Linked DNA regions of Alligator mississippiensis. The protein of the gene in region 2 purifies or fractionates together with the protein of the main gene of each other region. This does not show direct contact. Links are inferred from orthologs where the notes say so. Each region holds a gene or a part of one and is shown on either strand. Other genes may lie near its edges.

Region 1 (12,027 bases), on a different chromosome or scaffold from region 2:
AATACCAAAATATAAAGGTACTTAGAATATATTTTATTAGTGATTGAGGCACAGGTAGGCTGACAAATTGCTTTAAAATTGTAAATATATAAATAAAACTTTGTGTTCTTATATTATTAGTGGTTTTTCATTTTAATCATGAATTTGGGGTTTTTAAAATCAGAGAATTTGTGAGTTTTTAACCAGAGAATACCAGGCTCTCTGGTGATTAGGAACAGCCAGCATGGATTTACCAAGGGCAAGTGATGCCTAACCAACATGATTACCTTCTATGATTAAATGACTGGCTCTGTGGATGTGGGAACAACAGTGGATGTGATAAACCCTGGCTTTAACAAGGCTTTTGATATGGTCTCCCACATTTTCACAAGCAAGCTAAAGTATGTCCTGGGTGAATGGACTGTAAGGTGGATAGAAAACTAGCTGGAACATCAGGCTCAAAAACTACTAATCAATGGCTTGATGTCCAGTAGGCAGCCAGTATCAAGTGGAGTGCCCCAGAGGTCGGTTCTGGGACAGTTTTGTTCAATATCTTCCTCAGTGACCTAGAAGATAGGATGGAGTGCACCCTCAACAAGTTTGCAGATAACAGCAAGCTGGGGAGAGTAGTAGATATGCTGGAGGGAAGGGCTAGGATTCAGAGACCTAGACAAATTGGAGGATGGAACCAAAAGAAACCTCATAAGGTTCAATAAGGACAAGTGCCAAGTCCTGCACTTAGGACAGAAGACTCCTATGCACTGGTACAGGTTTCTCTATAGAAAGTGACCCAAGGATTACAGTGGACAATAAGCTGAATATGAGCCAAGTGTGCCCTTGTTGCCTTGAAGGCAAAGAAAGAGCATATTGGGCTGCATTAGTAGGAGTGTTGCTATCAGATCAAGGGAAGTGATTATTCCCCTCTGTTCAGCACTGGTGACGCTGTATTTGGAGTACTGTGTCCAGTTTTGGGCCTACCACTACAGAAAAGATGTGGACAAGTTAGAGAGAGTCCAGTGGAGGGCAGCAAAAATGGTTAAGGGGCTGGGGGAACCTCACGTATAAGGGGAGGTCGAGGGAATTGGTTTTATTTAATCTGTACAAAAGAAAACTGAGAGGGGAGTTAATTTCAGCTTTCAACTATTTGAAGGGTAGTTCCACAGAGGATGGAGCAAAATTGTTCTCAGTGGTGTGATAGATGAAAAGGAGCAATGGTTTCAAGTTGCAGCAAGCAAAGTTTAGTTCCAATATTAGGAAAAACTTTTTTGTTAGGAGGGTAGTAAAACACTGAAACAAGTTACCTAGAGAGGTGGTGGAACCTCTATCCTTGGAGGTTTTTAAGATCAGGGTAGACAAAGCTTTGACTGAGATAACATAGCTGGGAACGGTTCTGCCTTGAGCAGAGGGTTGAACTAAATGACTTCCTGAGGTCCCTTCCAACACTTATTTTCTATTATGGTAACAAGCAATGGACACTGCCCTAGCAGCTTAGTGCAGCAGTGTCCAACTCATCTAGCTCCTCAGGTCAGATGAGTAGCATGAGGCCAATCTGAAGACTGGATCCAGAGCACAGAGCTGTCATCTGGCCTGAATGGTTTGAATTTGGTGACAGCAGTGTTAACTGCTGTGATTCCCAGAACCATGGCACTTGCTAACCCTCCTTCTTCCAAGTTTCCACCCCAACAGGCAGTCCCGCAGTTCTGTGCTCTGGATCCATTCTACAAGGCTTCCCATATGTCTGGAGATTTGACAGCAGGAAGAGTGGCAGAAGCATTAATTGTTGCATCTTTGGAAGTCAGGACAATTAACTACTGCTTGCAAGGCCACCGTATTTCTGGACCCATGGCAGAGGCCCACAGGCTGTAGAACATGGCTCCACGGCCCGAATCCAGACCATGGACCATAGGTTCGTCACCTCTGGCTTAGTGCAACAAGATGGAGACAACTGAAGAGTATCTTATATTTTTATTAAATGAATAGAAACCACAAGCTATGTTTCTTAATGATTTAAACTCACAGGAAGTAAAATAACTAATACTTTTTCTTTGTCAAATTAACTGATAGCACAGAACCTTTAGTCTGCAAATCAAAATATAATCCTAAAGACTTAAGTTTCAAAATGATATCAGGTTGTATGCAAATAGTCACACTGATTTTCTTTTTCAGACTGGAGAGCATTCACGGCATGGTTTACCACTTAAGTGAACAGGAACAGTCTCAGGTTCCAGAGATATTACATTCTAAAAGACAGGGGCACAAAACATAGAAGATATTCCAGAAAATGGAACAACTTAGTTTTTCCTTGGTCTGAGTAGGGACACAACTCACTCCAGGTAATGTCTCCTGGCCTAGCTTGTTTTAAAGAGGGACTTGAGAGAGGGAAATTGCTTGGCAGACTGAGATAGGGAATGTTCCCCATAAAAGGAAAGCATGCAAAGGCAGACAGAGAGAGGAGTGGGAAGGAATGATTAGAGCAGTAATACTGAAGTGAAAGAACCAAGAAGGGGCACTGAAAGAAACCAAGCAATAGATATAAATTGGGATGGAAGACCGTGGTACTTTTCTGGCTAGAGAATTTGCGGGTGAAATCAGAAAGGAAAAAGACAAACATATTAGGCAGAGTTTTACTAGTTTAGATGTGCATGTTCATCTGGACACATCCCATGAGGACATGTGATTTACAGCTCTGCAGACCACGTGTGCCACATATTTGCTGCGCTGCTAATTTGCACTAATTTGCACTGGGAGTTGACACCAAGAGTGTCAAAATTCCCGTGTCAAAAAAATAGAGGCACCAGAAAAAAGTGGGGCAGCGTACACATGGCAGCAGCATGCACCACTAGAAATCAGAGCCTGGCCAGTCACAGCCACACTCTAGCTACCAGCCAGGCTCTGCATGCCTGAATTGCTGCCACTGGAGCCCCGAGGCCCCCAGAATCTTGGGTAAGGCTGCTGGGGCTAGCCCAGATGCTGGCCCCTGCCTCCCCTACCCCACCTGGGGCAATTTGTTGCAGGCCAGAGCATGTGTGCCGGGGCGGTCCCCAGTAGTGGCACAAATGCATGCCACTGCTAGTTGTCCCGGGCAATGAATGTTTCTCACTGGTAGGGACATACCTACGAGGAGCAATGAGCAAGTAAATGAGATCAAAGAACTTGTAATAGTCAAGAGAAGGGGAATAAAACTAGAATAACTTAATATTAAACTAAACATAACACAAAACCTCCCCCAAAGCCCCTCTTGCTGTGTAGGTCAGAAAACAAGAGTAGTGTTTCCCCAGTTCACCCCACCCTATTGCTGTCCTGACCACACCGGCCTGTTCTCAGATCTTGCCATGCGTTTTCCAACTGATCTCAGGGTCTGACTCCTATTTCTTCAAACTCCCACGTAAGTTGCAAAAAGCCCTGGAATTCAACTTAGCCCCACACCCAAGCCCCAAGGCAGTAAATATTCTACCCTTCACTGACATGAGAGACAGCCCTGCCCTTGGGCAGCCCCTTAGCCTGAAGTCAAGTAAAAGGTAGAGCAGATTTGCCATTTTAGACTGATCAAAGAGATACAGATGAATGTATCTATATAGAGAGATGTACCTATATCTCTGCATCTCTGGCCCTGCTGGCATAAGCCTTTTGATGCGCTTAGAGGATCATGTACTTGGGCCCATCAAGGAAGAACTATACGCCTGCCTTAGTAAGGAGTTCACTGAGGACATGAACTGATTTCAGGGGCCCACTAAAGAGAAAACAAGGTTAGGTGTGAGTTTGTAGGTTTAAAATGAATGCACCAAAGAGGGACACCGAGCAGAGTGCACCAGACAGCACCCATGGCCCTCTAACACACCCGAGGAGCCAGTGGACACTTCCCAGGAAAACTGCCCAGAGGCGTGAGTGGAGGAGTGCCAGGAAAGCAGCCCCCACCCACCCGGCTCCTCTGGCCTAGCCAGAGCCGCCTTCCTGGCCAGCAGATGAGCAGCCAGGCCAGGAGGCAGGAGGCAGCAGACTCACAGGACAGTAAGTGGGGCAGGAGACTGGGCAAGGCGGGCTGTGCTATGGAGGGACCCGGCCGGGGCAGCTCCTACGCAGGCAGGCACAGGACACGGGGAGACTGCAGCTTTCGCGGGTTGAAGCTCCCCTCGCCGGCGCCAGGCAAGTGTCCCCGCTGCCCACCAGCCGCACGGACTTCCCGGCTTTCTTGCGCCCTGGGCCCTTCCCTTTGGCCGCAGGACCCGTCCGAGGATCCCTGCGCGGCCTCACCTTGAGCGGTGTCCCCAGGAAGAAGTCGCAGGCGCCGCGGCGGCGGGGGACCGCGGTGCGCAGCTGCCGGGCCCCGGCGGGGAGCGCGGCGCGCGCCGCCCGCAGCAAGTGTCGGCTCATGCCGTGACAGATCGCGGCGGCCGGTTGACGCAGGCTGATGACGCCATCGATCCGCGCCGAGACATGTGATGACTGCGCCGCGCGGGGGAGGGGCGACAGCTCGCGGGCTGTAGGAAGGCTGAAAACCGCCGGCTGTTTCCGGTGGCCGCTTCAGCGGGGAGACGGAAGCCGGTATTAACCGCCTCTGCTGCTGTCCTGCGGGGCATGTTCGAGCGCTGACGCTTACTTGCTAGTAGCAAGTGCGGTTGGCAGTAAAAACCTGGCGGGCGGCCCGTGACGCACGAGCGGGGCGGGGCGGGGCCGGGCCGGGCCGGGCCGGGCCTTACCTTACCCAGCGTGTCCGGCTCTGGGCTCATGGTCTTAACTTGTCTTAACCGCGCCTTGGTCGCAGGCACGTTTGTCAGCGTCCAGCGGCGCTGACGGTCTGGAAGGGGAAGGTTAGGGGAACCCGGCTTTCTTCATAAACCTTGAGGGTTATGCCCCTTCTTAAATCAAAATGACTTAAGTCATTCGTGTGGATATTACTAGTATCACTAGTCCTCTGGTATCAATGCTTGGTTATACTGTCATTCTTCCGGGGGGGGGCTGGTTCTTTGACTGCTCTGCCACATAATAATTTACAACTGCAGAGTGGTTTCTTCAAACAGGCTTTTTGCTGCCTTGCCATCAGGGTCGTATAGCTAGTAGCTGGAAATCCTTACGTCCACCTTCCATCCCGTTACTCTGAGTAGTGCAGATCGTCTGCGTTCTCAATGCTGTAAGCAAAACAGCCTCTCCGCTGCCAATTTCCTCAAACAGTTCAAACATTTACTTAAGACAGTTTCACATGACCATACCTTTTCAGTTCATGTAGTTATGAAAGCGCAAAAAATATCAGTGAAATTGCTGACTGATTATTGTCAGGTCTATTTTGCGACAACCTTGGTAAGAAGAGATGTTCACATGAGTACCAAAATATCTGAGTCTTTGCCTTCAGGTGTCACATTAGATATGAACCAAGCTTTGTTATTCCTGTATCCTGGAGCCCTCTTTGCATGTACTCTGGGTTAAGTTTGGTAAGTTTTCCCTCTCTGGCTAGGGACAGACATTACACACAAACCAGTTTAAGTAATCAGAAACTGGTTTGAACCTGTAACAGAACATAAGTTCAGTGTACATAAACCAGTTTGAAAATGGCTGAAACCAGTTTAAGATAAACCTAGTTGAATGTAGTATCAAACTTAACTGATTTGGGTCCAACCGGTTTATGCGAAGTCTGTCCCAGACACCTACCTGCTTTAACTTAAGCCAGAGTCCCCCAGCATCCCAGATGCTTTGCAACCCTGGGCAGCACACACAGCTCCACAGCAGAGCTGGCCCCACCCCTCTGCTCCCTGGCTGGAGCTCCAGCAGAGACTTAGAGGCACAGCAGGGTCTACCTGGCTTCCCCCTGCCCCAGTGGTGATGCGTATGGGGTACATGGGAGTGTGCACCCTCTGAGAGCATCAGTGCACCCCCTGACTGGCTGTGCTTGCTGCTTACGCCCCACTGCAAGCGCTGGCCGGGGAGTGGGGGCCCTGTGGCACTCCCAGAAGCAGCCGTAGCCACTTCTGGAAGTGACTGCAGCAGTTGGCTGTGGGGGAACCAGTTGGTAGGATCGGTCATGAGGGGACACCTCCCTGGTCGCTGACTGGTTGCTGTGGGGGGAGGGGACATGCCACCTCTGACTCAGGCGGCACCAGTTGCCTATGCCCTGCCCCATCCCGCACCCACCACTCCCTGCTCAAGCAGGGATCCCTCCCCTCCCGTCTCCCACAGCACAGACCATAGCCAGCATGTGGTCTGCTAGCTAATGCTGAGAGGTGTCTGTGTAAGGCAGACAGGACAAAGGCAGACAGGACAGTGTCTGCTTATGGCTTTTTGGAGCTAATCAACAGGTAGCTGTTAATGTCCCTCTATTCCTTTCTTGGAAAAAGTTGTTTAAGAAGAGCTTAAACTGATGAGAAATACTTTTGTTTTGCTGATAGGCTGATAAATGCTTTGCAACTCCCTGCTGTGTAAGTAAATGCTGTGTAACTCCCTACTGGCTCCATTGCTGGTCAGAGGAGCAGCAAGGCGGGGGGGGGGGGGGGAGTGCATCCTGCCAGGGTCTGGCTATGCTCCCCCACCCCCCTTCAGCTCAGCACCATGGAAGGGAAGGGAAGACTGTTCTAGCGCCCCCAAAATACTAGCCTGAGCCATTGCAGGCATGTGCCGGCATTTCCTCAGTCCAGAAGGGATGTCTGTATGGTTACAAACCGGTTCAACCTAGCCAGGTTAGACTAACCTGAGTCTATAAGTGTGGTGTGGGGGTTTTTTGCCCCAAGGTGAAGCACCTTGCATTTCTCAGTGTTGAACGCCATCAGGCTTTGATCCGCTCACCTTGTAAGCTTGTCGAGGTCTGCCTGGATCGCCAGCCTATCCTCTAAGGTGCCACACTTCCCCATAGTTTGGTGTAGTCAGCAAACTTAGCCAGTCCACTTCTGACACCACAGTCCAAATCATTTATAAATACATTGAAGAGTACAGGTCCAAGAATGGAGCCCTGGGGGATGCCACTGGTCACCATGCACCATGTTGATTCAATTCTATCAACTATCACTCTCTGGGTTCATTCATGGAGCCAGTTCTCCAGCCATTGGACTGTGAGATTGTCGAGACCGCAGTCCCTCAATTTTTCCACGAGGACATCATATGATACCAGGTCAAAGGCTTTCTTGAAGTCCATAAATATGTCCACCTCTTCTCCTTTTTCAGTTATCAACTCGAGGTTACTGTCACCCAACTTCCCTTCAATTCTCAGGTCGCTCACTAGATTATCCCCTTTGGCCAGTACCAGGTCCAGCAGCACCTTGCCTCTTGTTGGCCCATAGATTTCTTGAGACAAATAGGGCTCATCAATGCATGTGAGGAAGCATTGCCACTGATTGGATTTGGCTGAGTGCTCTTCCCATGAGATGTCAGGGTAGTTGAAGTCACCCGTGACAACCATGCAGCAGGACCTTGCAGCTTCAGCCTGTTTCCTAGTAAAAAATTGGTCAATTCTTGTTCCTGAGGTCTGTACTAGACCTCTACTGTTATATCCTCTTCACCACATTCCCTTGTACATTTACCTAGAAGGTCTCAAGTTGCCCTCCTTGGCTACCAATCTCTGCCTGTATGAAAGTGTATTGCTTCTTCACAAGGAGAGCTACACCCTGCCCTTTCTTGCAACATGATCTCTCCTGTACAAGGTATAGCCATCTATACCTGTAGTCCAGTCATAGGTGGAGTCCCACCAGGTCTCTGTTATCCTTATCAGAATGTAGTAATTTCTGTTTGGCAGAAGGGTCAGTTCCTCCTGTTTGTTGCCTAGGCTCTTGGCATTTGTGTCCAGGCAAGTGAGCCTACCATCAGAGGTCCTAGGCTTCCCTGCACTCCTAGAAGAGCCCTGTCCCTGGGCTGGGGTAGGAGTGAGCTCCCTTGATCTGATCTGCTGATCAGCCTGACCTGCTGATGTTGTGGTCGGCGCTTGGTGGGCTTGCACCAGTGGTTAAGCGTCCACCCCCCTGCGAAGTTAGTTTAAAGCCCAGTCAAGCAGGTCAGCCATTCTGACCAAGAAGAGCTTTTTCCCCATGCAAGTGAGGTGGAGGCTGTCCCTTCCCAGTAACTCACTGGCTCTCTGAAGTGCAGACTGTGGTCGTAGAAGCCATAGTCTTCTGTTTAGTTGTTCAATTCTTTGGTCTTCTGTTTACTTCTTCAATTCTTCTCTCCCTCCTATGCCTGTGGCCTGTAACTGGAAGGATCAAGGAGAAAACCACCTGTACCCCCAACCCTCTGAGCCCTGCTCCCAGAATCCTGTAATCATTCATGACCTGGCTGGGATTGCTCCAAGCCATGTCATTCGTACCTACATGGATGAAGAGCATGGGGTAGTGGTCAGAGTGCCAGATAAGTTTTGGGATCCTCTCAGCTACATCGTGGATGCAGACCCTTGGTAGGCAGCATACTTCATGGGCTAAGGGATCAGGGTGGCAGATAGCTCCCTCAGTCCCCCTCAAGAGGGGGTCTCCCACAATGACCACTCTGCATTCCTTCTTAGGGGTGGTTACAGGTTGCCTTTCTTCCTCAGGTGTATGAGCTGGGAGCTCTGCTGGCTCTTCTGATGCTGTGAAGATTTTGTACCTGTTGTGAAGGTCCAGGGGGGTGGTGACCTTTGTGCAGTGTTACTTTGGGGCCAGAAACAACCTTTATCCAAGTGACCCCTGGCTGGACATTATGGGAGCTCCTCCTGTCCATCCTTGTCCTGCCAGCCAACCTTGCTCTTCATTCTTCTTCCTTCTGGTGAAGAACCTGGCAGTAAGAGTCAGTCTCCTCTTTGCCATTCCTGATGGCATGCAGCCTCTGCACCACCCTCTGGAGCTTCCATATCTGGCACTCCAGAGACTCCAGTATGGAGCAAACCTCACAAGGGGAGGTGTGAATTTTTTTTGATCCCATGTGCCTGCAGGCATGCCAGGCAACCCCCACAACTAAGAGCCAGGGGCCCCATCTGAGTGGAGGCCAGAACCATAGGTTCTATCTGGGTGGAGACCTCAGAGGTACTGGGGTGGGTGAGGAGGAGCCAGTCACAGAGGGAATCTTCAGGGGGAAGTGCATCCCCACCATGGTTCAGGTAGCAGTCTGGGCTACTGCTGTGCCAACCTTTCACTTCAGGCTTGCTGCTTAAAGCCTTATGTCCCTCCTGTACGCCCTTCTGCATGAACTCCCATGCTAACTTGCACGCCGGGCCCAGAGTGCGCCTGTTTGTGCGCTCTGTTCACGTGGCTCCCTGGAGGGCTGGGCCAAGTAGGAGCCGGGGAGAGAGAGGAGACGTAACCCTCCTTGGCTCCTCTCAGCTGTTTCCTGCAGCTGACTAGCTTCCACCCACTGCAGGCCCCACCTACCTCTCAGCTACACTGGGGGTCACGTTTGGGGTCTGCTGCATGTCCTGCTGCGGATCCTAGGGGGTCCCAGGCTTATGGGGGTGCAGCGGGCTTCCACCTGTGCATCTCTCACTGGAGCCAGGCCCAAACTGTGGCTTCTGCCATTAGCGGGCCCTTTTAGACTCTGCACAGGTGCAGTATGGCCTGCCACTGGCGCCACGCCCCTCTCAGGGGTTGGGGGTCCCTGCCCCACCAGAGAAGGGGACAGGTGAGTGCCCCCTTCTTCCCCTGTTTCATGCGCCAGGTGGGCCAAGTAGGAGCGGGGGGCGTGACCCTCCTCAGCTCCTCTCAGCTGCTTCCCACAGTTGATTAGCTCCCATCCACTGCAGGCGCCACCTGCCTCCCGGCTATGCTGGGGCTCAGGGTTGGGGTCTGCCGCATGTCCCGCAGAGGACCCAGGCTCACAGAGGCACAATGGGCTTCCACTTGTGTGTTTCTTGCCGAAGCTGGGCCCAAACTGAGCACCATCAGGTGTTGCACTAAGTTTCCCTATCCCTGGTGTAAATTACTGCAGAAGATTCAGTGCAAGGAAGATTCAGATACCTTTCCGCACACTTTACCATGTCTTATATCTAACTCAGTTCTGCTCAGTCTGCTTTTCAAGCAGCTTCTGAAGAGGGTTTCCTTGTTTTTAAACTCATAAGGAACAAGTAGATAAAGTAATTACCTAAAAGTTGGAATTTGGGTAGGAATGAAGCAAGGCCCCATCTTTCCAAGAGAAAGGGAGAGGGCAAGAGGAGTGGGGACAGAGGAGACAATGGTCAATCACTTTATTGTCTGGATGAATACGAAATCTTTAACTGACACACTTATACTCCATGAATCCTAAAATTCATGTACAAATTAACTTTCCTTTTGTTTCAAATGTTTCTTTCAAATTTCCTTTAAACTTTTAAATACTTTCTTCTGTTCTTTGATTTTTTTTGTTACACCTATTTTTCTCTCCTTTTTTAAGTTTCAATTTTTCATTTCCTGTTTTTATTCAGCTACCCTTGTGCTTTGTTTTGTAGACAGGCTTTAAAATACTCAGTTGCCAAAGCAGCACTGAACAGTTAAACAAAAGAATAAGCTATATTCAGGTAAATATAATCCTACTAAACTTTAAAAACCTTACACTGAGTTTACATTGCTAAGCAAGACTGTGGCAGAGCACAGGGTGTCTCTGCCACTTTAAGGGCCTGGAGCTGGCAGCCTCCAGGTGCCTGATTAGGGTAGCCATTTTGGGGCCAATATAAATAAGGCAGTTTGGCTGCAGGAGGCCAGGCAGCAACATTGCCTGGCCGCAGGGCTGCTGTGAACGACCTGGAGGTAAGGGGGAGCCGCAAGGGGTTGGTAGGAGGCTCCTGGTCCTGGGCATGACCTGAAACTGCACCCAGCCGGGAGTGGGTGGTCTGGTGGGGCTCTCAGTGGCGCGGGAGCCCCCAGGAAATACCAGGCCAGTGATCACCCCGGTGAAAGGCGGGTTGGGGCGCCTTAACCCCTAGTTCCTACCACCACCGGGTGGGTTACCCATGCTTATGTTGGAGGGCCTAGAGGGCCAGTGTTGTGAGGGGCCCAGAGGAGCGGACCCCGAGAGTGGGAGTGATGTGGGCGTGGTGCTGCGGTTGCCCCCGAGAGGATGGGGAGTAGTGGCATGGTGAGGCCCAGTGACAGAGTGAGCGGCTAGAGAGACTCAGCCCGAAGGGAATAGTACCCTCGACTGGCACATGCTGGGGCCAGGACCAGAGAGGGTCAAAAGGGCCTGGGGCCCACCGCGAGGGACGCCCAAGAGCCGGGGGCCTGGGGTCCCAACTCGCCTTGAGGTGGGCCAGGGCAAGAGGCCGAAGGTTCCGGGGGAACCACACCCGAGAGGGAAACATGACTTCGGGGGGGCTAGGTAGCTCAGATGAAGGCGGAGAGGCCATCTGATCAGGAGGGATCATAGTGGGGTCATGTAGGATGATTCTGGGGCCCAGTGTGGGGCCGGTGATAGTGTTAACACCGTGATGCCATCTGCGAGGCTTGGGCTGCTGTATTAGGGGAGGTCGGAGCCGCAGAGCGCCCCCTGGCATCGGGGCATTACAATGGGTAGCCTCCCGCTTAATTGACATCGACATATGTATCAGTTATCATCAAAGGCGTGGCGGGCGAGATAAGCGGGCGGTTGCCCAGAGACAGGTTGGCGGGCCACGAAGAGCTCGGCCCTGAGTAGGCCCCTGTCACGGTGACAGGCGGTCGGGCCACAGAGTTCGGCCCCGGGAGGCGCCCTGTCACAAAGACCTTCGTAGTACTTATTAAAATTTTAAAAATGTAAATCCTTTTATCCTGTAGTCCAGATTAGCGAACAGCCAATGTAGATAAAAACTAATTGGAATAATATGTTAATGCTGCTTTTCACTCGTATGCACAACTCCCAAATTTGCATTCCAATCTAGAACTAACTTATTTTGTTCTGTGTGTGCAATGGTCCCTCTGATAACTTTCTCAGTATACAACCAGAATCAGAAACAGAATCTTGGTGGCTTCCGTCCTCCATCCCTAAATTCTTCGTTACTCTCAGTAATTCTACCATCCTTAATGTCATGCTGGATCATAAATTGACTGTTCAGCTCTTCTCTATCTTATCTGCCACCCCGATATTTACCTCAAGGTTCAAGTCCTGAGATGTTCCTCTTTGTAGCGGCAGGACCCTTGGAGAAAAACGTATCCCACTGTT
Region 2 (11,417 bases):
ATAAAAATATTTATACATTTGTGTGCTGAGTTTCACCAATTAAGTAATGGTCACAAATTTGGATCATACTTTCAATGCACCACAAATATGCCCGGCAAATAATGAATAAGAGGAGGTCTTTTTTTTTTTTTTCCAAACTAAATGTCTTCTTTTGTATGAACTGCTGAGTGTTAAAATCAGGTACGCTCGTTTTAAATAGAAGATTGTGAACCAGTTGTTTGAGTAACCATAAAATGTGTGATGCTACAACCAACTATGTGGACCCATATCTTCTTATTTACCCTTACTGCCCTGACTTAGAGGTAAAGGCAATGTCCCAGTTGCCATAACCAGGTGTAATAGGGCTAGGTAGAGCCATTAACTCTGTATGTGTTCATTCTTTTTTTCCTTAATCGTACTCAGACTAAATAAGTAATCCATAAAACAGAAATAAATGCAGCTTCACGTTCCATACACAAGCCTTCCTAGAAAGCCAGAAGCCTGCTTCAGATATCCTGGTAAAACGGTATGGAAGAGTCAAGTGAAGATATTGCCTATATTTCACAACAAACAAACAATCTCTAATGACCTCCGGCATCCCCCATAATCTGTTAAGCAGAAATTATTCCTTCTCTGGTAATGAACCATGCACCATGTTAAATAAACTAGTACTAGGAAATAAGCAATTACATACCGGTAGTTTACATGGGAAGGATTATCCTGTATAATTTTCTCTCCTTTTAATGCACACACGTAAACCATCTATCTTTAAATAAAGTGCAATGATATAACTAAATCCAGAACATACAGAGGGTGTACAGTGCGTGCAATACATCACACACACACACACACACACACACAGTACAGCATAAAAAAAAACCTAAAAAGGATGCAGCATGTGACAACAGCTGGAACTAGCTGTGCAGTGACCGATGTTTCGGATCAGATTCTCTTTTCACACTGCTATTAATACCAGTGTTCCTTCAGTGGAGTTACCCCTGGTTAACAGCAGCCTGCTAAAGAGAAGAGAGTAAGGTCCCTTTTATCTGTTTTAAGTCTCATCACCACACATTAACAATCTTTTTGCAAAAAAACAAGTAAATAGAACTGCACAATCTTGCTTGATTTTTTTCTTCCAGTTCTAACAAAACTATAGCAACATAAGACCTTCATAAGGGGCTCTTAGCCCCCAGTGACATTTTGTCATCACCAAGATGTAGTTGCAGCTATGTGCTACCTAATTGAGGGGTTTATCCTCACCTGATTAAAACAGACTGTTTGTTAAACACCATTACCCCAGTTAAGATCTCTAAATAAAGATGAGGTATTGTTTTACCTGAGTTAGGTTGCCACCACCAATTGTTTTCTAATTGGACCTTTCAAGCCACTAAATGTAACAAACAAAACACAGCTGACCAGGTTGGTCTTTCTGTCATTGTGGAGGGAGAGGGGGAGAAAATGAGATTTCTTTTCTATTAAGTGTTCCCAGTTTGCTCACCTCCAAATCCTTTTCGTACTGGAGACAACATTGTGTAAAGAGGTTTGTTTGACTTATTTTTTTTTAAGGACAGCACTACGCTTAATAAGCCAAATACTGAAAATGTATTTAAACACTATATTATTTTACATGTGCTAGTTCCATTATTCCAAGTCTTTAGATATTTAATGGTTTATTCTGCCTTTACTTTTTCCTTCCTCTTTATGTTCTTGTGATACGATGTAGCAAGATGTATTGGACTGGCAGACATGAGCCTGATATCCTGTATTTATTCATATAAATAGGCAAACAATAACACAGGGTTTCCCTACACCTGCCAAATGCCTCCATGACCTACAGGGTACATTTATTTATGACCATCATATAAAATATTTCTTTGATTAGGTTGTACAGTCTATGAAGAGTTAAATTCAATTGAAAATTCAGATTTAACAGTCAAAATTAATTCCAAAATAGTTTCTTGGTATTCTGAAAACATCTTTATTTTCATATAACTTTAAAAGCATTTTTCCACTGCAGCAAAAATCCTAACAGTCATTTCCACATATTAAGTACAACAGCCTGTGAATTTATTGCAGAAGGAGTTTACGGCAAAGATTAATTAGTCTTCAACACTGTTCTAGTTGGATAGTCCGGCTGAAGACACCTTAAAAACATCTAGCTATTGCACATTTTGGGAGAGAAAAAATTAATCTTACTGAGAAGAATTAGAAATTATATCAGAATAAATCTGTACTACAGCATTGTCAGAAATAGTAGTTAAAATGACAGCGGAAAATGATGGAATTTTATTTAATGGACTTGCAGTTTAATGTGCGTGTGGTGCAAGCACATAGAAACACACATCAACGGAGCCTACAAGCACGTACCCCGCTCACGTTTTTTGAGCACAAATAGTCTCACTGATTTTATTATGAATACTCACGTACATAAAACATTGTATAAGTGTTGCAGGACTGATTGCTATATAGAAAGCTATTTAATCTTTAGAAGAATCTGAAGTACCACTCACTGTGTTATTTAAACACTATGCAGTGGCTCTGAGCATAACCTAAATGACAATATTTTCACAACATTCCTCATTCCTAGTATGCGTATCTAGGTTTAACTTGTCTGCATAATAAAGATGCATTTGCACACGTACTGTAGCTGCACACAGATTCTTACTGATAATTCCCCCTCCAACAAAAACATTTTTATTCCTCCCGAATGAATCCCTCATAAAAAAATTTAAGATTGTAAAGTTTGTGAAATATTTTAAACAGCAGCCCGTTTGGAGCATTTCAGCCATATGATGTTGTTGTGATTAGTGAGTCATGGGGATCAAGTCTCACTGCAGTATTTTAAAACAAAATATGCAGGGAGAAAAATAAAAACAAATGGAAAAACTAAAGCTGAAAATGCCACCTGTTGTTATTCAGTCATAAGTATATTTTGATTCATGTGATTTTTACTTGACAGTTTGATTTAATTAATGTTATGGCTCGAGACGAAATCATTAAGCAATTTTTTGCAGGGGTGCCTACTTTTGCTTTCTGCAGAGATACTAGTTAAGTAAAAATAATTATTAACATTATTTGTGGTAACAGTCATTTCACATGAATTTTAAAGGTGAATTTAAAAGATATTTAAATATACTGAATCCTATTACAATCATTACTATTAAGACAACTGTACTGAAAGTCACTCATAGTCACACACAACATCATCTGAAGGCAGCATCATGCTGTCGCTTTTAAGCACGAATGAAAGCTAATAGTATTGTATTTAAAAAAAAAAAAAAAAACCACAGTAGTGCTACAGGGCCTGAAGGAAGGAAGAAGTCATCTTTTCTGTGTTTTTGAAATCTAATTAGAAAAATAAAGGAAAACTAACAGCTTGAAAAGAATTCAGAGAAGCTAGTTTGGAAATAAACCAAACATCTTTCTGGGATCCCCATGCAGGAATAGATCTGAGTTACAGTATTCAATACATCTGGAGAAAAAAGGATAAGAAAGCCCTCCACGTAAAGCATTCCAGGGGAGGAAATCTCTCAGTAAACTAGCAAACTCCATTAGGAGGATTAAACAATAAACCATTCCTGCCAGTTACATTAACTGCATTAAGGGATGTGCACACGCCTGGTACTCTACTGAACAAAACGCTTGTTGCTAAACGTGATGTAGACCAAAAAACAGGTTTCAGGTTAACCATATGCATTTTAACAACTAAAATTTCACCCAGGAGAAATGTATCATTCAGTCAACAGATTAAGTTTGAAACACAGCACTTGCACACCAGCAATAATTTCCTTTGGAGGCCACTGGCTCTCACTCCAACTTAATTTAACACTCAAAAACTTTAAATAAAGTGTGTAAATCACACTCCAAAGCTTTCCCGGCTGAACAACTGCGGACAGAGGCTTGCCTACGAACTCCTCCGCCTGGCGCTCGGGCTGGGCGGGATGGAGACGGGTTAAAAGCCCGGCTCGCCGGTTTAGACGGGGACTCGGTAAATCAACGGGCGGAGGTTTAAAGCCGAGTTGGGTTTTGGTAAGCTGCGGGGAAGAAGCAGCTCCGTGTCTTTCATCGGCCACCGCCAGGTTGTGGTCCCCGGAGCCTTCTCCAGGTCCAAGCCCAAGGGGCACTGTCCAGCCGCTCCGGGCAGCCCTGGCGGGAGCTCCCGCACCCCGTCCCCGCCGGCCGCACGCAGCAGCCCGGGCAGCGGCGCCGAGGTGCCCGGGCCGGCGGACAGCGACCCTGCAGCCTCCAGTCCCGGCTGCCCCCGGCCGGAGCAGGGCACCCGCGCGGGGCCGCCCCGCCGCCCGCAGCAGGGAAGGGGCTTCGCGAGCCCCGGTGACAGCTCCGGGCCGGGATGCAGCGAGCGGCGGGGGGAGGAGGAGGAGGAGAAGGAGGCAGCCCTGCCCTGCCCTGCCCTGCCCTGCCCCGCGCCCGCGCCGCTCCGCGGGCACCGCTGCCCCGGGCATCCCCGGCCGCCGCCGCCGCCCTCCCCGCGCGGCGCTCACCGCGGGCTGCACGAGGTGCTGGCGCCGGGCTCTCCGCTCCGCGTCCCCGCGCCGCCGCCCGCGCAGGGAGGCTGGGGCAGCTGGTCCGGAGCCGGGGCTGGAGCAGAATCCGCCGTGCTTCGCAGCGTGCCCTCCGCGTCCCGGCGAGCTCGCAGTGAGCATGTGCAAGCGAGCCGCACATGCCCGGTCGCACCGTGAAGCCTCTGCCCTCACCTTGCCCTCTGCCCACACTCCGGCTCCCTCCCAGCAGGTGGAGGGCGCTGGGGAGCGGCGGGGTCCCGCCCGGCGTCGCACTGCTGGAGCGGGGTGTGCGCGTGTGCGTGTGCGTGTGCGCGCGTGCAGGGGGGAGCTAGAGTGACCCACAACGCGGAGCTGCGCTGAGTCGATCTGAATAACTCTGGCCACACGCAATCATGAGTTGATCTTGACACATCATGAGACTTTTTTTTTTTTCCTCCAAAAAGCAGGTAGCCAGGTGGGAAGGCGAATGAACCCCGGCACGGACCCTGCTCTAGCTGTTCTCTACGCTTTTTTTTTTTTTTTTTAAAGAAAACCTTTCATTTCAAGATCCTCGCATGAGAGCAGAGCACGTTCCCCAGAGCCCGGTCTCTCAAGTCAGACACCAGAGGCTGGGAGCGGGGCAATAAAAATACTAGAGCTGGCAACTCCGCAAGTTCCCACCTCAGCAGTGATTTCATCCTGACTTCTCCCAGACCTTTCATATAGGATGAATTATTACCAGGATGTTCATAGATTTAGCTCTCTAAACACACCTGCTAATATATTGACTCTCAACTGACCTTCACATTTTGATTTCTTTTTTTAATTATGACCTTTGATTTTTTTTCCCTCTCATTTGAGCTCTGAGCTTGATAGACTGACTTTTTTTCTCCCCCTCTCTTGAGTTCATATTGCTTCTTCGGCTACTGTCAACAATCTGCTTGTTATAAAATGTTAACTGTTTGGCTGAAGAAGTACTTTAAACAATGCTTTCATATTTTATAACAAAATCCAGTAAAGTCTTCTGATGTGATGATGTGTAATACTATCACGTGCTTTTTGTGACGGCTTCGTCGGATACATGTAATGTAGGGTGGAACCCGAGTTTTCAAACCAGATCCAGCAAACATATGAGAGTATCTGCTCCCCTGTGTCATGCCACTGACACACGTGGGGCTGTCATGGAGCAGAGCTCTTCAAAATCTAAATTATGCACTTTTCCACTTACTGCCCTCAGATTTTGTCCGTCTTCCTCAGGGGAACATCTGTCTCTGACAGGGGATCTGCCTACCCACACTCAGTGAACACTCATACGGGCACATCTGAAAACAGGAAATGAACAGATCCACTTCTACTCTCCAAGTACATAAACATACTGTACTTTCCACACATCCCCCCCTCCCCACTCCATGTGTGCAAACACGTACTCTCAGCACCCACTTCACTCACATCCCTTTCATCCGCATATGCACAGGCTCATACACAAACGTGTGCACACACATATACACTGATACACGCTACCACATATATAGGCATACAACTATATGTTCTAATATGTGCACATTCCCAGGCCGATGGTATTTGGGAATGTGGTCTTTCAGCGTACAAGTCACGGGAATCCTAGGGAAGTTACATTTCTGTGCTGTGCTTTTTCTTTTCACCTTTTCCACCAAACTGGGCAAGGTATGGCTACCCAATTTTGACAAGGCATCAGAGGATAACAGTAAACCCCAATGGCAATAGCTTATATTATCTACCTCCCTTTCTTCAAGAAGAAACTTCAGGAAAATGAAATCACATGAACTGCAATGGAGGGTCCTTGTGGGAAAATCCCAGGAAGCACAAAGGGTGTTGAGTTCAAGATCTAAACAACTTGCAGCCCTCGTGGATTTAACTCAAGCTTTTGACAAAGAAACAAAAACATCATTTCTACCAGACAGCTGTTTTTACTATCAAAATTACTTAGATCAGTCTGAGTGCGAAGTGTGTTCCTACAGTCCAAAGAGGACAAAGTGCCGAGAATCAGCTGGCAAACTTCCTAGCACGAACTACCTCTTGCTGCCCTAAAAAAACCCCAACATTTTTTCAGTTGTTACTTTCCATCAATTCACAGCACTAACCCCATGATTTCCCCATGGTTTCTCTGCAGTTCTGAACTCAGGCAGCTTTCACACATTAAATCAGCCTCAATCACTAGCCTGGATTAACTCTTCTCTGGCTTTTTTCACCTAGAATTTCTCATCTGGTGACTGGTCTACCAAGATATCAGTATGTGATTGTCTCTAGGACTTGCCTCTGCAGCAGTTCCTTCTTCCCCAGTCATCTGACTGCCACATTAGCTGTATGAAGCTAACTCCTTAACATTGGTAAATAAGTATGGATAAAGCACTCAAGCCATGATTTAATAACGTAGTTATTTAGGTGCTTGACTTACACATTGAGTTGTCTGGATATGGTCAATGACATTACTTGTGAACTTAAAGCTAGGTATGTGCTTAAGTAATTATTAATATTTGTTTTGTGTAGTGCCTGGGGATACGTCTGTGATACTTCTGCGTCATTTCTTATCACAATGGTGAGAAGTATGCTCCATGCATTTTCTCCTCTGTGTCAAATGTGTAAATGACCACATCAGAGACAGAGCATGTCACAGCAACTGTGCTAGGCACTGTACAAACACAATAGATGGAATCTGCTCCCGGTTTTCAGCCACAGGGCCAGAGAGTGAGTCAAAATTTAAATCTGGGCTTCCCTAACACCCCGTCCTGTGCTTGTTCTGGAAGGGTTTGCTGCTTCTGTTGATTTCAACAACAGATAGAGGTTTCGTGGAAAAGACAGCTGTAAGAAAGGAAATGAGTGAATTAGTAGCAAGCAGAATCTATACTTACAAATTCTATATACCAGACAGTCTTTTATGCTTGAAGCAAGCAAGAAAAACACGTTCTTTCCCTCAACAGGCACAATTTCTAGAGCTTTTCCTCATGTTATTGGAAGAGAGATTTGTTTACTGCAGCACTACCTGGGAAAAGGATCAAGTCTACGAGTTCGCACAGCACAAGTGGGACTGCTCTCTCTAGCTTATGCATAATATAACATTGAAATGGAACCTGAATGGCATCAGCATTTAGTTGTCCACAGATTTTATTCACCAGAATTGTTATGAAAAATGGGTAAATACATCCTACTAAACTGTGAGAAATGTGGAGCTGTATAGGCTGCTTTCCTTCACTATTATAGCTGTGTCCAAGCATGCAAAATTGGTTTCTTATGCATCTCCAAGATGTGGGTGGCATTTAATTTGGAACTGGTCCCGTGTCTTCTAGGAATTGAAAGAGATAAAAATATTATTCAAAACAGAATTGAAGCAGTGCAGTGAATTCAGTATTGCGCTGCAGGAACTGGAATTTCTATCCCATGAAAACTTCATACTTCCAAACAAATATTTTTGTCGAGAATCTAAACACAAATTCCAGCACATCAAATTTCCAACGGGTTGGGAATATTTAAAACTAGCTATTTAGGGGTTTTCTAAAATGGATTTCTTTTTTCAAACAATTTCACACAGCACCTAAGTTGCCTCTATGGTTCATTGGCTTCCCATCCTATAAGTCAGGTCAGAGAGACACTTACATACATAGCTCTTACATCGTCCCAGGGAGCTGAGTAGACAACTATTCAGAGATCTGGGCAGCCAGGAAGACTTCCTATCTCCTGAGTAGGGACCCAGTCAGCTAGGGAGCTGCCCACCTAGAGGATCGGGGTAGCCTCTATTGCATGGTAGCCCACCAGGTAGGATTTAAAAAAAGATGGAAGCCCGGAGGCCCCAGCTCCATGGCAGCCTGCTGGGTAAGTAGCTGAGGATCGGGGAACTGGAACAAAACAGTGTGATTTGTAGAAATAGTATATTCTGTGAGGATGGAAAATTAACAACTTTCTCCGAGGCTTGCCTGATACTCAGGAATGACCTGACACTGTTAATCAGGACTAACAGGTTTCTCCATTTTATCCAACTCTGTCAGAAAAGGGGAACAATGTTGACATATTTAAATTAGGATCTTCAACCATTTTCTGATATACAGCTAGAAAGGTGAGAAGCCCTGCTAGCCCAGAAGGGGATAAAAAAGGATATAATGGGACCCTGATTGGTTTTCTCAGGAGTAATATGTGCTTTTCCATATTTAAACATTCTGAACTATTATGATCCTGATTATAACTTAATTCATTTACAAAGTATGCTAAAAATAGAGAGGCATCTTGTCCCAAAGTCTTTGCAATATAAGAATGATTATTTTTTGTTCTCTCTGTCATATAGAAAAACATCAGGTGTAAATAAAAAGGATATTGCTGGCTAGCAGAGTGTAATCTTGGAGGACTCTAAAGTCACTGGCTCTAATCCAGATAAGAACTTAAGCATGTGCTTAACTAATACCAGAGTCGGCTCAAAAACTGTGTGACAAAGCACTTCAGTACACGCTTAACTTTAAATTCAATGTGAGTATTCCAAGTTTAGGCATGTGCTGAAGTGCTCTGCTGAATCAGTGCTTAGCACCTTGTAGGAATGAGTCTTCAACACAACAACAAAGCTGTAACAAAGGGCCCTTGTGCTCATAGCTCACATTCATCATTCAGAATGGGAGGAATCCATTTTCTTTGTGTAGGTCTATTTATTTGTCATGAATATTTATTTATCTGTAAAAAGTAAAAATTGAGCAACATTAGCATTAAACAAATTGCTAGCTGTTTCTTTAGTACTGATGAGGGACCAATCTGTGTTGCTTAGCCTTCTACTTCACTCAAATTCAGAACATTTGTAACTGATGAACAAAGTGCATGTTAGCTATTAAAGCTCAAAATTAGGCAGGCAGTAAAAAGTAATCTGAGAGGAGGATCATAGCTACTGATACTATTGAAGCTGTTCTTAAAACATATGGTTTCCAATTTTTAACACAATGCACAAAAATAAAACCCTGCACCCGATGAGTGCCTGATCTTTTCATCACTAAGTGATCAAATATGCCTGCTTGTTTTTTAGTTTTATGTCCCCTTCCCCTTTCTGTTTGTTTAAAAGGAATCTTGAGCTGAAAATTTGGTCCCTGGTACCAAAACAAGAAAGGCTGTGTGAATCCATTTGTAGTTCTGGCTTGAAGGGGAAAAAAAGCACACCAGAACTTTCGCCTAGTGTTTGAAAAGGCTGTCTTGTCTGCATTTTTTTCAGTTTAGAAGAAGGATCGTCTTTCTTTCACAGTGGAAAAGCTACTTGCACTGTGAACATAGTTACATTCTACAAAGATAGTGTGTAAAATATTTGGGTGCTTGTACACGTGTTTGGTGATTTTTTTTCAGGGTGGAACGCTACCAAACTTAACTATGAAAAACCACGCTTGTCAGTAGAATAATGACATTTCATTTGTGGCTATATTTGCATAAAAGTTAGTTTTGCATGTGAAAATGAATTTATCTTTTTTTCCCCACAAAGGAAACATTTATCTTGTTCTCCCCCCCCCATAATATTTTAATAATGTAACAGGATGCAAAAAAATGCTCCAACAAGAGGAGAATTCTCCTTTCTCTCCATCGTATAAGCAGGGGTTGGAACATTACATGAAATGCAGATTCACTCAGGTGCAGTCCACTCATTGCACACTGATTAAAAAGCAAACAAGAGTGGTTGCTGTGCCTGAAAGGATTTAAGGTTTGAAGCAAAGAGATGTGGAGGAATGTGAAAGGCGGATGGGCACTATTTTTACGTTGTGTTTTTTTATGTTATTTCAATGACTAGTGAGGAAAATCTCCCAGAAGATTTGGGGCATTAACTCAGCTTGTGTATTCACTTCTGTCCTGTTTGAGAGCAGGGTTGGGGACTTGGTCTAGTCACATGCATAGCCAGTAACTATAGAGTATTTGGAACGTCATCAGTACATCTTCAACATTGGATTGTTATTATGATACTTATATTCATCTTTACTCAAAAGGAGGGTTCTCTTTGTAGGGTAGGCCTATTCCTTTAGTCCTAAAGCAAGTTGCAGTCCAGTCATGTTACAGGGATTGTACTGTGAGCACAGATGGAAGGTAGAAGTGTAGTTGACTAGCTTTCTCAAGTATTGGTGGGCTTTGCTTTACACCCTTCCCTGCCCCTTTTTCTCTCCTCCTGTAAGTCTCTCCTTCAAACTTAGCTTTATGTTATGAATATTTGATCATTCTTAACCTTGCACTGTAAGAAAATTGACCTCCACATATTGCCAAACCCACTCAGAAATTACCATTTTGGAATCTATTTCTTCAAGAGTGGAACAGCAAACCACAAGTATGTTGTAACTTTGGAAGGATGACTAGAACTGCAGGAGTTGAAGACAGTAAACTAGTCTAGCCTCTGTCTTCTTACCCATGTAGTGCTACGTCTTGTTCTAGGCCAGCGGTTCCCAAACTCTGACAGATTGTGCACCACCAATTTAAAATGATACAACTTTAAGTACAACCAGCAAATTTTTGTCATATAAAGTAATTATAATGAATCTGTTACTGTGTATCACTAACGGGTTGCCTGCATACCAGGGTGGTACCCGTACCACAGATTGGGAACCGCTCTTCTAGGCTGTTGCCCCAACAGCTGGCAAAAGGAAGAGTGTTCTGATAGAGATCCCGATTAAGCGTAGTTTAACTATCAGATATAAGAGCACCAAAATCCCTGTAGTTGCTATTAAGAGATTCTGGCACAGAATGGATGATGGATATCCTGAGATTCTTTCACATTGAATGAAAAAAGACATTGAATCCATAAACAGTATGAGACTCTGCTCATACGTGAACTCTTCCAGAGATGGTGATAATCCAGAGAGAGAATTGTAAAGGCAAGTTTGGCTTTGGAGAGATGAATTAAATCAACTTCAATTCTTTTTGACTTGGCCTGTCTGCATGTGATACCAGGTCTCACTTTTT

What was found.
Region 1: the proteins of EYA2 (region 2) and ACAD9 purify together in Homo sapiens (affinity purification with mass spectrometry; 3 studies listed by BioGRID and IntAct, with this or other methods). This does not show direct contact. The link is inferred for Alligator mississippiensis from reciprocal best matches to the Homo sapiens genes EYA2 and ACAD9.

What each region holds. Positions count from the first base shown.
Region 1 is NC_081835.1:29,679,265-29,691,291, reverse strand, and holds the start of ACAD9 (complex I assembly factor ACAD9, mitochondrial), read right to left. Parts: upstream 4,357-12,027; 5' UTR 4,351-4,356; coding exon 4,231-4,350; intron 1-4,230. UniProt on the Homo sapiens protein: As part of the MCIA complex, primarily participates in the assembly of the mitochondrial complex I and therefore plays a role in oxidative phosphorylation.
Region 2 is NC_081832.1:15,619,873-15,631,289, forward strand, and holds the start of EYA2 (eyes absent homolog 2), read right to left. Parts: upstream 4,689-11,417; 5' UTR 4,663-4,688; coding exon 4,482-4,662; intron 1-4,481. UniProt on the Homo sapiens protein: Functions both as protein phosphatase and as transcriptional coactivator for SIX1, and probably also for SIX2, SIX4 and SIX5.